Linked DNA regions of Xenopus tropicalis. The protein of the gene in region 2 purifies or fractionates together with the protein of the main gene of each other region. This does not show direct contact. Links are inferred from orthologs where the notes say so. Each region holds a gene or a part of one and is shown on either strand. Other genes may lie near its edges.

What was found. The genes of interacting proteins can lie anywhere in the genome.
Region 1: the proteins of ptpn12 (region 2) and pstpip2 purify together in Homo sapiens (affinity purification with mass spectrometry; 4 studies listed by BioGRID and IntAct, counting the BioPlex papers as one, with this or other methods). This does not show direct contact. The link is inferred for Xenopus tropicalis from reciprocal best matches to the Homo sapiens genes PTPN12 and PSTPIP2.

What each region holds. Positions count from the first base shown.
Region 1 is NC_030677.2:206,682,889-206,689,069, reverse strand, and holds part of pstpip2 (proline-serine-threonine phosphatase-interacting protein 2), read left to right. Parts: intron 1-1,429; coding exon 1,430-1,492; intron 1,493-3,031; coding exon 3,032-3,130; intron 3,131-3,913; coding exon 3,914-3,959; intron 3,960-4,930; coding exon 4,931-5,010; intron 5,011-6,181. UniProt on the Homo sapiens protein: Binds to F-actin. May be involved in regulation of the actin cytoskeleton.
Region 2 is NC_030679.2:78,239,183-78,246,101, forward strand, and holds the start of ptpn12 (tyrosine-protein phosphatase non-receptor type 12), read left to right. Parts: upstream 1-2,968; 5' UTR 2,969-3,206; coding exon 3,207-3,305; intron 3,306-6,919. UniProt on the Homo sapiens protein: Dephosphorylates a range of proteins, and thereby regulates cellular signaling cascades. Dephosphorylates cellular tyrosine kinases, such as ERBB2 and PTK2B/PYK2, and thereby regulates signaling via ERBB2 and PTK2B/PYK2.

The DNA.
Region 1 (6,181 bases), on a different chromosome or scaffold from region 2:
AATAGGGCTGTTCTGCCCCCAATAAGGGGTAATTATATCTTAGTTGGGATCAAGTACAGGTACTGTTTTATTATTACAGAGAAAAGGGAATCATTTAACCATTAAATAAACCCAATAGGGCTGTTCTGCCCCAATAAGGGGTAATTATATCTTAGTTGGGATCAAGTACAGGTACAGTTTTATTATTACAGAGAAAAGGGAATCATTTAACCATGAAATAAACCCAATAGGGCTGTTCTGCCCCAATAAGGGGTAATTATATCTTAGTTGGGATCAAGTACAGGTACTGTTTTATTATTACAGAGAAAAGGCAAACCATTTAAAAAAAATGTTAATTGTTTTATTATAAATTGTTTTTGGAAGATGGCCTTCCCATAATTCAGAGCTTTCTGGATAAGGGATTGCATACCTGTATACTAACCCTGGTAAATAGAAGCAAGCAGCTAGTTTATATATAATTGTTAGTGGGCTTGTTGGTGCCACTCAGTTTGTGCCCTGTGGCATGTATGAGATCCTGAACAAATTCATGTTTCCTTGTTATTCTATATGCTATGTATTTGTTGAATCCACAATACAATGGGGTTCATTTTGCCTTTAAAGACCACTTTCTGTGGCTTTAATTTGATGCAAGGAAGGTAATAGGACGGAAGTCACAGAACACAGGCAACAACCAAAGAAAGCGAGGAACTGATTGTTTCACTTGAAAAGACTAATCCTGCATTTTTAATGCATATCATCAGTTAAAAGATGGGGGTTGGCAGGCTTAATTGAAATATTAGATGAAATCTTCATAACTCCACTACTTCAAAAAGAATTGCAATCTCAGCCTGGCAATTATAGACCTGCAAGTTTGACACCTGTTGTGAGCGGTGCTGCATAAACGTTTGCTTTCTAATCTAAGGTTTACTGCCAGTACCTGGATAGTGAACGGGCTAATGAATTCTGTAGAAAGGGTGGCTGTGAAAGGTACATTGTCCAATTGGAGTAGAGATCTCATTGGGGTGCCATAGTCAGCAGTCTGGAGGAAGAGACTGCTGACTGTTCTATGCCAAAACTGCACTCTGACTGTCTGTTACTTTGACTTAAAATAGAGGTCCTTATAATAGGAGCTTTATTGGCTGTAAGTGGAAAGTCAGCAAAAAGCAAGAAAATTGAACTTCACTGTTCTTTTCTGGAAGAGCAAAGTAACATACAAGGTTCCCCAAACAACAAAGTGACCCCTTCTGCAGTGTTTTCTGCCTGCAAGGAACTCTTTTTCCAACCCATAGTTGGAGATGATAAGGTCAATACCTTGAGGGTTGCAAGTTGCCTTCCCCTCTGTCAGTCACTCTTTGCCCAATACAAATACTCTGCAAAATACCCCCCCATAGTCAGCAGGGAGAGAGAGAAATCCATAGTATTATCTTAGCCTCTATCCTATTATTTGCAGATAGAAGCTGTTATGGATGCCTTTCATAAGCAGAAACTGAATCAGTACAAAAAGACAATGGAGGTAAGTTTTCTTTGATCTCTTAATAAAAAAAAGAAATGTTTTAGACACCAGGTATCCTGTAAATACTGTCATCATATCCCATCATTAGGATACCAATACTGCTATAGTTATGGTATCTCTCTGTACAGGCTATGAGCAAACTTAGGGGGCTGTTCCTGCTGAATTGTGCTTAGTACAGGGGAATCCCTATGTGCCATAGTTTTATGGTATCTCTCTGTACAGGCTATGAGCAAACTTAGGGGGCTGTTCCTGCTGAATTGTGCTTAGTACAGGGGAATCCCTATGTGCCATAGTTTTATGGTATCTCTCTGTACAGGCTATGAGCAAACTTAGGGGGCTGTTCCTGCTGAATTGTGCTTGGTACAGGGGAATCCCTATGTGCCATAGTTTTATGGTATCTCTCTGTACAGGCTATGAGCAAACTTAGGGGGCTGTTCCTGCTGAATTGTGCTTAGTACAGGGGAATCCCTATGTGCCATAGTTTTATGGTATCTCTCTGTACAGGCTATGGGCAAACTTAGGGGGCTGTTCCTGCTGAATTGTGCTTAGTACAGGGGAATCCCTATGTTGCCATAGTTTTATGGTATCTCTCTGTACAGGCAGGGTCGGACTGGGCCGCCAGGACACCGGGAGAAATCCCGGTGGGCCCTGGCCCTAGTGGGCCCCAGCGGGCCCAGTCCGACCTTTGCCGGCGCTCCCCGCTACTGAATGTTCCTCTCCTAACGCGTTCAATTTATACGAGCTCAGGGAGGACGTCAGGCGGGGGCCCTTCGGGGGGGTTAGGGGGGCCCCTGGGGGGGTTAGGGGACGCGGCTGGGGCACCTGCAGGGCCCCCGGGGCGGGAGCCCCGGTGGGCCCCGCACCCCCCAGTCCGACCCTGTGTACAGGGTATGAGCAAACTTAGGGGGCTGTTCCTGCTGAATTGTGCTTAGTACAGGGGAATCCCTATGTGCCATAGTTTTATGGTATCTCTCTGTACAGGCTATGACCAAACTTAGGGGGCTGTTCCTGCTGAATTGTGCTTAGTATAGGGGAATCCCTATGTGCCATAGTTTTATGGTATCTCTCTGTACAGGCTATGAGCAAACTTAGGGGGCTGTTCCTGCTGAATTGTGCTTAGTATAGGGGAATCCCTATGTGCCATAGTTTTATGGTATCTCTCTGTACAGGCTATGGGCAAACTTAGGGGGCTGTTCCTGCTGAATTGTGCTTAGTACTGGGGAATATCTATGCTACAAAAGCTGGTAAATCAAAGAGGAAATTATAAATCCATGTTTTGTTATTTCCGTTAGATTCAGGGTTATATATAGGGGTGCCTGGGGTAGAGTTGCTCTTAGACCTGTCTGTCCTAGTTTCCCTTATTTTCCTATGACAAGCTGCAAGGTAACTGGCAATGCATTGGCATGATGGAAGGACACATGTCCCCGACAGGATTATTCTGTAATTTAAATTTATAGCCGATACGAACGATAGATACTGTAGCCATTCCCTACATTAATGGGGCAAATGCTGAGATTTTACCTCTGTTCCCCCCGGTAGTCGAAGAGGAATTATGAGCAGAGGTGTCGGGAGAAGGATGAAGCCGAACAAGCCGTGAGCCGCTGCAAAAATATGGTGAATGCCAAGCAGCAAGAAAAGGTAATGATGGAACGTTTAGCCCTGGCACAGCCAATGGCCAGTCACAGTGCACACAAACAAGCCAAGGCATACATACATGCTAGGCCCCATCAGCCAATGAATGGGCAGAGTTCTGCCTTCCACACTACTTCCTGTTACAGTTAGAGCTGCATCACTTCCTGTCAGCTGATCCCTGAAGGAGCACACAGCCCATCACTAAATGGCGGCTCAAGGGAAAGGATGTAAAAGGGCAATATTTACTGATATATATATTCCAGTTTGGGGAGATTCTTTAATAGGTCCCTTTATATGATATAAACTGTCTGTTGGTTACGTATTCATTCTAGGGGTATAGTTTCCCTTTAATAGTGACTGTCTATGGAATCTTTCAACAACCCTCCTTGTTTTTAAAAAAATGTAAATAAAGGTAGACCGCCCCTTTAAGCATGACCAGAGATTCAGGTGGGCCTCCTGGATTTCCAGTGGTCTCCCTTCTTTGCTTATCATGTCTTTTATCTTCTCCTCCCCCATTTTCTCTGTCCCTCCTCCAACATGCAGAAACTTATGAAGGATACGAGGAGAAGTTTGGGTAGGATTAATGTATTGCTGATCATTGATGGCCTGGGTATGTTGGCATTAAGGAGGGAGGGCAAATAAAACCAGTGATAGAAACTAAACATCAGATTGGGACTGTACCATCACAGGGGTTGGGGGGGAGACAGGGACCCTGCCAGTTGACACCTACTATCTATGAAATCAGTGTTTCTGAATGATATGAAATAATACTTTTGATCATATTTTCAGGTTTTTGCTAAACTGGCGCATTCCAAGGTGACTGCCGAAGCTGCTGGTGAGTCACTTCCTGTTATAAAAGTCTGCCGATACTATTGGTCCATTGGCACCATTGTTACATCTGTAGTCCTTCTTCAGGTCTCATTATAATGCTCTGAATGGCTACTGATTCTGTTTTCCAGTTGGGTCCAGCCCCCACATTTCACAAAAACATCTTAGACATACACAGTACAGTACCTTCTCCTACAAGCCAAGACCAATCTCTTCATGTCCCCCCTCCCAGGGCCAAAATTATGTGCCACGTGCCCAGAGGCTGGCACCCTTTACTGCCCCTCCCCCAGAATTGTGTGCTTGCACATTGTTTGACCTAAGATGGCCATACAGGGGCAGATTTCAGCTGCCCAAATTGGTTCTTCAGAAAGATCTGGTAGCTTATCTGCCCGTGTATGGGCACCACCAATGGGCCTCTCCAACCTACATCTGGCTGGAAATTGGCCCCAGAACCGATGCCCCCTATGCCCGCCTTTTAATTTGATCATTTGGCCCTAGATCAGATTAGCCCAATATTGCCCACCCATAGGATACACTCGTTTGGCAACCTCATCAAACGAGCGGGTCTTACCGTACATGGCCACCTTTAGGCACACAGCACAGAGGACAAGCTCTGGGTCTACAGTGCTCTGGGGGTGCAACTGGCCAGCATGTCACCCCTCAATTTGTGCCGCCCTAGGCCCCAGCCTTTGTAGCCTTAACCCAAATCCGGCCCTGCACCTTCCCACTTGTTATGTCTCACAGCGACCAGCAGATGGTGGGATCTACCTGATGGCATCATGACCAATTGGAATAAGCGCTGCAGAACTGTTAGCAGAACACAATGTACACTGATGCTTGCTCCTCCTCTTCCTGTGCAAACATAGAGGTAGCCATGTCTGTGCCCATTGCTGTTCTTTTACTTGATGGTTGCTATTAGTTGTATAATTCATGACTGGTTTGTGTTCATCAGTTATCAATGTTTATTCTGATTTGCAGATAAGTCTTACCAGCAAAATATCAACTTACTTGACAAAATAAGGGAAGACTGGCAAAAGGAACATGTCAGCTCCTGTGAGGTAATGGCATTCATTTGGCTTTAATGCCCCTCTCTATCCATTGAAATGCACAGTGACATGTTGTTCTGCCCCATATGGACCTTGTGATCCCAAAATAACTATGTACAGGTATGGGACCTGTTATGCAGAATGTTTGGGACCTGGGGTTTTCCGGATAAGGGATGTTTCCATAATTTGGATCTCCATAACTTAAGTCTGCTAAATATAATTTAAATATTGAATAAACCCAATAGGCTTGTTTTGTCTCCAATAAGGGGTAATTATATCAAGTACAGGTACTGTTTTATTATTACAGAGAAAAGGGAATCATTTAACCATTAAATAAACCCAATAGGGCTGTTCTGCCCCCAATAAGGGGTAATTATATCTTAGTTGGGATCAAGTACAGGTACTGTTTTATTATTACAGAGAAAAGGGAATCATTTAACCATGAAATAAACCCAATAGGGCTGTTCTGCCCCAATAAGGGGTAATTATATCTTAGTTGGGATCAAGTGCAGGTACTGTTTTATTATTACAGAGAAAAGGGAATGATTTAACCATGAAATAAACCCAATAGGGCTGTTCTGCCCCCAATAAGGAGTAATTATATCTTAGTTGGGATCAAGTACAGGTACTGTTTTATTATTACAGAGAAAAGGGAATCATTTAACCATTAAATAAACCCAATAGGGCTGTTCTGACCCCAATAAGGGGTAATTATATCTTAGTTGGGATCAAGTACAGGTACTGTTTTATTATTACAGAGAAAAGGGAATCATTTAACCATTAAATAAACCCAATAGGGCTGTTCTGACCCCAATAAGGGGTAATTATATCTTAGTTGGGATCAAGTACAGCTACTGTTTTATTATTAGAGAAAAAAAGGAAATCATTTTTAAAAATTAGAATTATTTGCTTATAATGGAGTCTATGGGAGATGGTCTTTCCGTAATTCAGAACTTTCTGGGTAACGGGTTTCTGGATAAGGGATCCCATACCTGTATAAATACGTTTTTATACTTTGGGTATCTGGACAAAATCCAATGGGCCAATGTTGTAAGAATCATTGGCTAACAGGATACAGGATAAGAGTACAACCACAGCTCCCTGCCCAATCAGATTGCTTGGCTTAGAAGCTTGCCCAACCCATTTGGAGTTTCACTTATGTAGCCAATCACTGGCCAACCAG
Region 2 (6,919 bases):
CAGGTTTGATTTTCTATTACATTTTGAAAAAATATGTTTTGTGAATTACCTTTGACTTTTCTTGTACACCAGGGATCCCCTACCTTTAATACTCGTGAGCCCCATTTAAATGGAAAAAGTGTTGGGGAGCAACACAAGTATGAAAAATGTTCCTGGGGGTGCCTATGAGAGCTATCATTGGCTACTTAATAGCCCCTATGTGGACTGATGGCATACAGAAGACTCTGTTTGGCATTACACTGGGTTTTTATGCAACCAAAACTTGCCTCCTTACAAGAAATTAAAAAATAATCACCTGCTTTGAGGCCACTGGGAGCAACAGCCAAAGGGTTGGTAAACAAAAATTGCTCACAGGCCACTGGTTAGGGAACACTGCTGTACACCTTCATAAAGGCAAGATTTATGTTACATTTAATTTTGACTTCTATTATATTATAATGCTAATTTAAGGCTCTTACTCGTGAGTGTTTCGTTATGTATTCCTCTGCGGTGGCTCTTTCATGTTCTAGCACAAGAGAATGTATGAGTTAACACAGCCTATGCTGTACTATGAGTTTTTATTCACTGTGGCGGCTGTTGGAACCGCTGGCTGGCCGATGTGGCTAAAACTATTGTCTTTTATACATTAACTGTTACTGAACAGCATAGATGTTTGCCATTCCTCTAATAGTAATGATCCAGGTCTTCAAAAATGTGCATAAGCTCACCATATGGATTTTGTCAGGAGTGTCAGTAACACCCACATGCTCAGTATGCTCTCTTGGCAGTTGTTGAGAAGTTTAGTTTAGGATTTTTGACAGTTCATCAAACAAAAATGAAGCTTATCTGTCAATTAAACTGATGCTACAGGGTTGATTATTAAATTCTGATGCAAACTGCATGTGATTCAGAGCTACCATGTAATGTGAAACTGAATTAATTACTAATCATCCCTGCCCATTGTATCATTGTTCCTCCCCTTACTTCAACAGACCTGCCCTCCAATATCATTGCCCCCCCACCCAATGCCACTGCCTTGTTGGACAAAACCTAGTGGTGGCAACCCTACTTCCATTTTTATATCTTCCTTTTTCTCCTTCTTCGCTAGATTTTTATCTTGCTTTCTGTTGGCTCTTCTTCCTTCTTTATTTGCTGCATAGGAAAAACTCAACCTATACCTGACCATCAACGCACAAAACCTTTATCTACACCCAACTGAATCCAATATAGTTAGCAAAAAATTGAATCTATAAAAGCTGGAGTGAACAGACGCAGCCCATTCCACCTGCATTTTTTTTGACCTGCGTGCTCATGATCAAAAGCAAATTAACGAAACATTTATGTTGCTTTCCCCCTGCGTTTGGTGCTTACATGCATCTGTGTGAGTGTAGCTCAGTAGTTAAGAAAGGGCTGTGTTTTGCCCTGCATTCCCCTGCAGTGAAACACAGGAGAACGCCAGTGCAGGGGAATGCAGGGCAAAACGCCCATCTGTACGAGCCCTTAGGGCTCTGGCACACGGGGAGATTAGTCACCCGCGACAAATCTCCCTGTTCGCGGGCGACTAATCTCCTCGAAATGCCATCCCACCGGCGAAGATGTAAATCGGTGGGATGGCATACACGGCGGCGCGATTTCAGTGAAATCGCGGAAGTTTCCTCTCGAGGCAATTGCGGAAATCGCGTATGCCATCCCACCGGCGATTTACATCTTCGCCGGTGGGATGGCATTTTGGGGAGATTAGTCGCCCGCAAACAGGGAGATTTGTCGCAGGCGACTAATCTACCCGTGTCCCAGAGCCCTTAGAGAGAAACAAAGAAGAAAGTGATGTTCTCGTTAGATATCCGTTCACTCCAGCCCTTGTAAATTACAGGTGTGGCTAACTAGCTATACTGAAAACATTTTTTATTTTGCACAGCCTATTTATTTACCGAGTTTTATTTTTACATTGAACAATTCCTTTATAAGATAATAAGATAATGTAGCATTTACAAAAACTGGTCATTGCCAGTGACATATACATAGGGTACTCATGGAAATCATTATTTAAAATCTTTTATGTGGTTGCTAGGGTTTAATTTATCCTGTCAACCATGTTATTTAAATCAGATACCGGAATATGAATAGGACAGGTACTGAATAGAAATATGTCATAAAAAGTATCAATAACAAAAGCTACTTTAGCCTAACTGTAGCCTCACAGAGCAATATTATTAGCTACCATGGTCACTGACCCCATTTTAAAGGTAACAAAAGGCAGAAAATAATTCAAATGAAAGCAAACTGTAAGTTGCTAACATGAGGCTATTCTATATCATGCAAAAATAATCTTATATATGAACCACCCCCTTTTAAGTGTATGTTTTAGGAATTTTCGAAAACGATAAAAGATGAAAAAAAAAAAAACTAAAAGAAATTGCTTTAGTAGCAAGCTGTTTATATTACTGTTATTTTAATCTGTTGTCGATACGATCCAGTTTCTTCCTACTTCATTTGAGTTACACCATCCACGGAGCAGTAATTATAGGATCTATTTTTCTCTTTGTCTAATAAATAATCAATCTGGGACTTGTCCAGCTGTCATAATCGGTTTATTTCGAAATATTATGGTCTGAAATAGAAACGCATTGAAATACACTTCGCAATGAATAGATTTCTCAAACAGATATAAAGGGAAAATCCCATACAGTATGCATTTTTGCGTTTCAGGCCTCTTTTAAGGTACTACGCCTTCCATTTCAAGTTCGATTGGCCGCCTGTAAATAAAGCCTCGCCCTTTTAGTCCCTCCCCTCCTCCGCCCTAAGATGGCCGATCGATCAACCACCTATTGAGTTAATGACGGGCAGACTAGGCTGGGTTTGGCACGCCCTCTCTGTGCACGTTCAGCGAGCCAATGAAGGCTTGCAAAGGCATGGGGCGCGGCCAATGGGAAGCTGTGGAAGGAGGGGTGCCTAATGCTGTGAGTTCCGGTCCTCTTCAGTGCGTGTCTTGGTGCAAGGCTGGGAGGTGTGTGCTGCTCGGTAGAGGGATTAAAAGAAGCCTTTTCACTGAATGGGATGAGAGGACATCATTTCCTCATGGCTAGGGGCTGAGGAAGAGACTGTCTCCCCCACCCTGAGCAAGACAGCAGGGTGGCTGGGTTTTCATCGTGTGGGCTATTGGTTGAAGGTACCGGGTATTTGGTTGCTCTGAAATTGGTGAGATGTCAGACGAGCTGCCGTTTTCCAAGATGGATCAAGTAGCGATCCTAAAGTCTTTTATCCAAAGGGTGCAGACCATGGATATCAAAGATCAGAATGGAGAGGATAACTTTGGCTGCGATTTTATGGTGAGTGTTCTGGGATGGGCACAGGAGTGTCATGATGCATCAGTGTCAGGGTCGGTCTGTGGAAGTGCTCCTCTTACCCTTACGCTAGTCACTGAACTAGTTTGTTCCCTGCAGTTAATGCAAAGGGGACACTCTATTCTGTAACTTAGCTACTAGCCTTGGGTCCCTCCTGATGTTGCCGAACTGCAAATGTCAGCAAACATCGCTTGGGGGGCTGAGAGTTGTGGTTCTGTAACAGCTGGATTGCCAAAGGCCATCTACCCTGTCGTCTGTGCTGTTTTTACTGACACACATGTTATCATTTATCTAAATGTGCATATGGGACATTCTAAGGTAGTGACCTCACATGTTCTCTGTCATAGACTAGAATGTCATATAATATATATATATATAGCTTGTTCTTTGTATGTACAGTGTGGGGGCCCTTATGTGTGTAAGTGGGTCCTAGCTGTGTATATGTATGTGTTTCTTTGTTAAGAAAGCATATCATCCAATTACACTTTTTTCTGTACATTTTGTTAGGTGTTTTTGGGAACCCTTTCTGATCATCCTCCCTCCACCCATGTTCAGTTATTTCAGAGCCGGTCTCCTTGTCTTTTCCTTTTTACCTCCCTCTTCTCCCCCCTCCTTCCTTCCTGATCACTTCATGGATTATGGCTTGCAGCCTTATGTGGTGGGAGGATTTTATCAGGGTTTCCTGCGCACCCATGTAGATTTTTTTCAGTTAATCTAGACTTTAATTTTATTATATTAATGAACCTTTTTCATGCACATTATAACTGCAGCATTCCCTTTATAATTTTAATCACTTGCCTGCTCACTCTCTGGCATTGCTGCAGTTAAATGTCCCACCCTTCTATTATGCTTGCATAAGTATGTATATATAGCCTGCACCAAAATGTGACTGGCATTGTTATTTATATAAAGCTTGTTTAGAATAGTGTGGCCCATATACTAACAGCTGAAAACAAGCACATTGCATTGGATAGCTGTCCTTGTTTATCCTTTGCCTTTGCTGTTTCTTTATTTCAATGTATGTGAAACAACTTCTATTAATTCTTTAGAGATTCTGTTTTTCTTTTGTAAAATGCTTTTTTTTTGTATTCCTTCAATATTTTGGTAAACTTATAAGATGCTCTGCTCTTCTTTAAATTGATCTTGTAGTGTCAGATAATTTGCCCCACCCCCGGATTTAGGCTTTCCTTTCATTGTGTCAGATTCTCCTTGTCCCCATGCTCATGAACTATGCTACAGCTCATATGGATCTATTCACATAAAGCATGCACTAATTACATATGGAAAATATCTTCTTTAACATCTGAGATCTACATTGGATCAAATGTAATTTAGCATTGTTTCCATAATTTGGTGTATTTTCCCTTAATCTCCTGGGGTGGTTCAGATAGAAAAAAGGAACAATGCTTGCAAGTTAGCAAAAATGGAAGTTACAGATAAACAGATGCTAAACAGTCCTCTTGGGCATTGAAGAATTCCAGGGTCATGGAAATGAAACAATGCTTTTAATTTAATAGATGTTGAAAGTAATATGCTATTTTGGCCTGTGTCAGAAATTAGCAATCCCAAAGTATAATGAGCAGTCAGTGAAATTCTTGTATCTTTAAGGGAATTTGTGCCTTTTTTTGTGGAGGTTTAGTTGAACTGAATGTATCCAGTGCCTCTCTAATCAGTGCTTAAATATAGTACGGAGGGGCAGATGTAGCTAAGGTGTTAGAATACCTGTTAGAATTTAAATAAAATTGATGTAACTTTCAGACTTTTCTGTTTATGAAAAGTCTGTTTAACTATTTTCGCAATGTTGTCAGTTTACATTGTACTCTGCATTTTTGTACATTTTACTAAACTGCTCGTTTATCGATTTAAAAACATTTATGCAGCACGTGAACATTTCTTACTATAAATGCCCTTAGGAGAAAAGATCTTTGCATAAAAAATGTATGCTAATAATGGTACATAGCAAGAACATAAACTATTTTCCCCTTGGCAAGAAAAAGTGGATAAAGGAAGCAAATATTTTCCCCCAGGGTACAAAAAAAGGTAAAAGAAGTCTTACTTGCTTACTTGTTTTCTACTAAATGAAGTGTTTGTCTGTTTCAGAATAGTGTGCAGTGTTTATTTTGTGGCTAAAATGTTGAAAAGAAAATTGTCATTTGTTTATTAAGGTGCTAAAGTATTCAGAATTATCTCCAGTGGCTGCATTGTTTGAATTTTAGGAAGTGCAGATGTATTCTTTAGAATAAACCTACATACATGTCTGTAGTAATGTTAAAGGGTCCAAGTAAAAAATATATTGGTCATGAATATGCTCTGACTTATGGCCAGTGTAGGAGGCCTTTAATGCTTGGATTTTGTAAAATTCGTCAATGTACGTATATAAAGACAATGCCACATTTTATTTATTTTGCACCCATTCCTTTTTAAAATTATTATTAGGAAGCAGGTTATGTTTGCCATATAAACTGGGGATAAGTTGGATGTGCAGAAGAAAACACAAATTAATGTTATTTTTTGTAGTGAGGTGTTTATGTATTTAGGTTCTTACTGATAGCCTAGTTTTAGTTCATATACAATCCAGGAAGCATCCATCTTCAATTCAAAAATTGGAGTCCCTTTTGTTTGACACTGAAAGTGTGTGTACCACTCTGTGGGCATAGACCCTTAGGCATGAATGCAGTCCTCTGAAGCATTCTGCATGTTTTTATATTATTCTTTCATTTATCCTTGAGGTCACTGGCACATGGCAATTCTGTTATGTTTGAGTGATTTTCAGATCTGTGGGCAGGTAAAAAAAAATGGTAGGAATTGATCCCCACTGACTACTACATTTTCAAACTGCCTGAATTGTGAGTACTCCCACAGATCCAGGTGATTTCCATTGAAATTAATGAGAGGCTATTACAAGCATATTGTTGCTCCTTCCTCTAAACACTACTTGTGCCATTATCCCAAGGGAATATTTGTCATTGGGCACATTCATTTGGGATATTTAAAGATGTGCTGCAGGGACATTTAAAGGGAATTTGTCACCCACACATAAAAATCTGTATTATAAAAGTCTTTTGCAAATTAAACATGAAACACTTTTTTTTTATTAAAACACCCATGCTTGTTATAAAAGTATTTAAAAATCTGAGCTGTCACTCATATATTGCCTGTCCTGCCTCTATGCCTCAGGAGGGGCAGGCAAATGCTTTAACTTTCCATTCAGCACTTCCTAGATGTCACTGCACTCCTCACATTCCCCTCTCCCTCCTGACACTCAATAATTGTGTAGCCAGTGCATAGGCATGGGCATTAGGTCACCCATCCTGGCGCATTCAAAAGATTTTGGGGTGATACAAAACTTTCCTTAATAAAAAAAATTGTGCAAAAATGGTGCCTGCCTGCTTGCTCTGATAGGAATTCCAAGACTGAAGGCAACAAGATCTAAGTCATTTATATCAGTGGTTCTCAACCTTCCTAACACCGTGACCCTCAACCATAAAATTATTCCTAAGACCATCGAAAATATGTGTTTTCCGATAAACTTAGGCGACCCCCTCCCCCCCCCAAAGGGGTCCCGACCCACAGGTTGACAACCGCTGATTTATATAGTG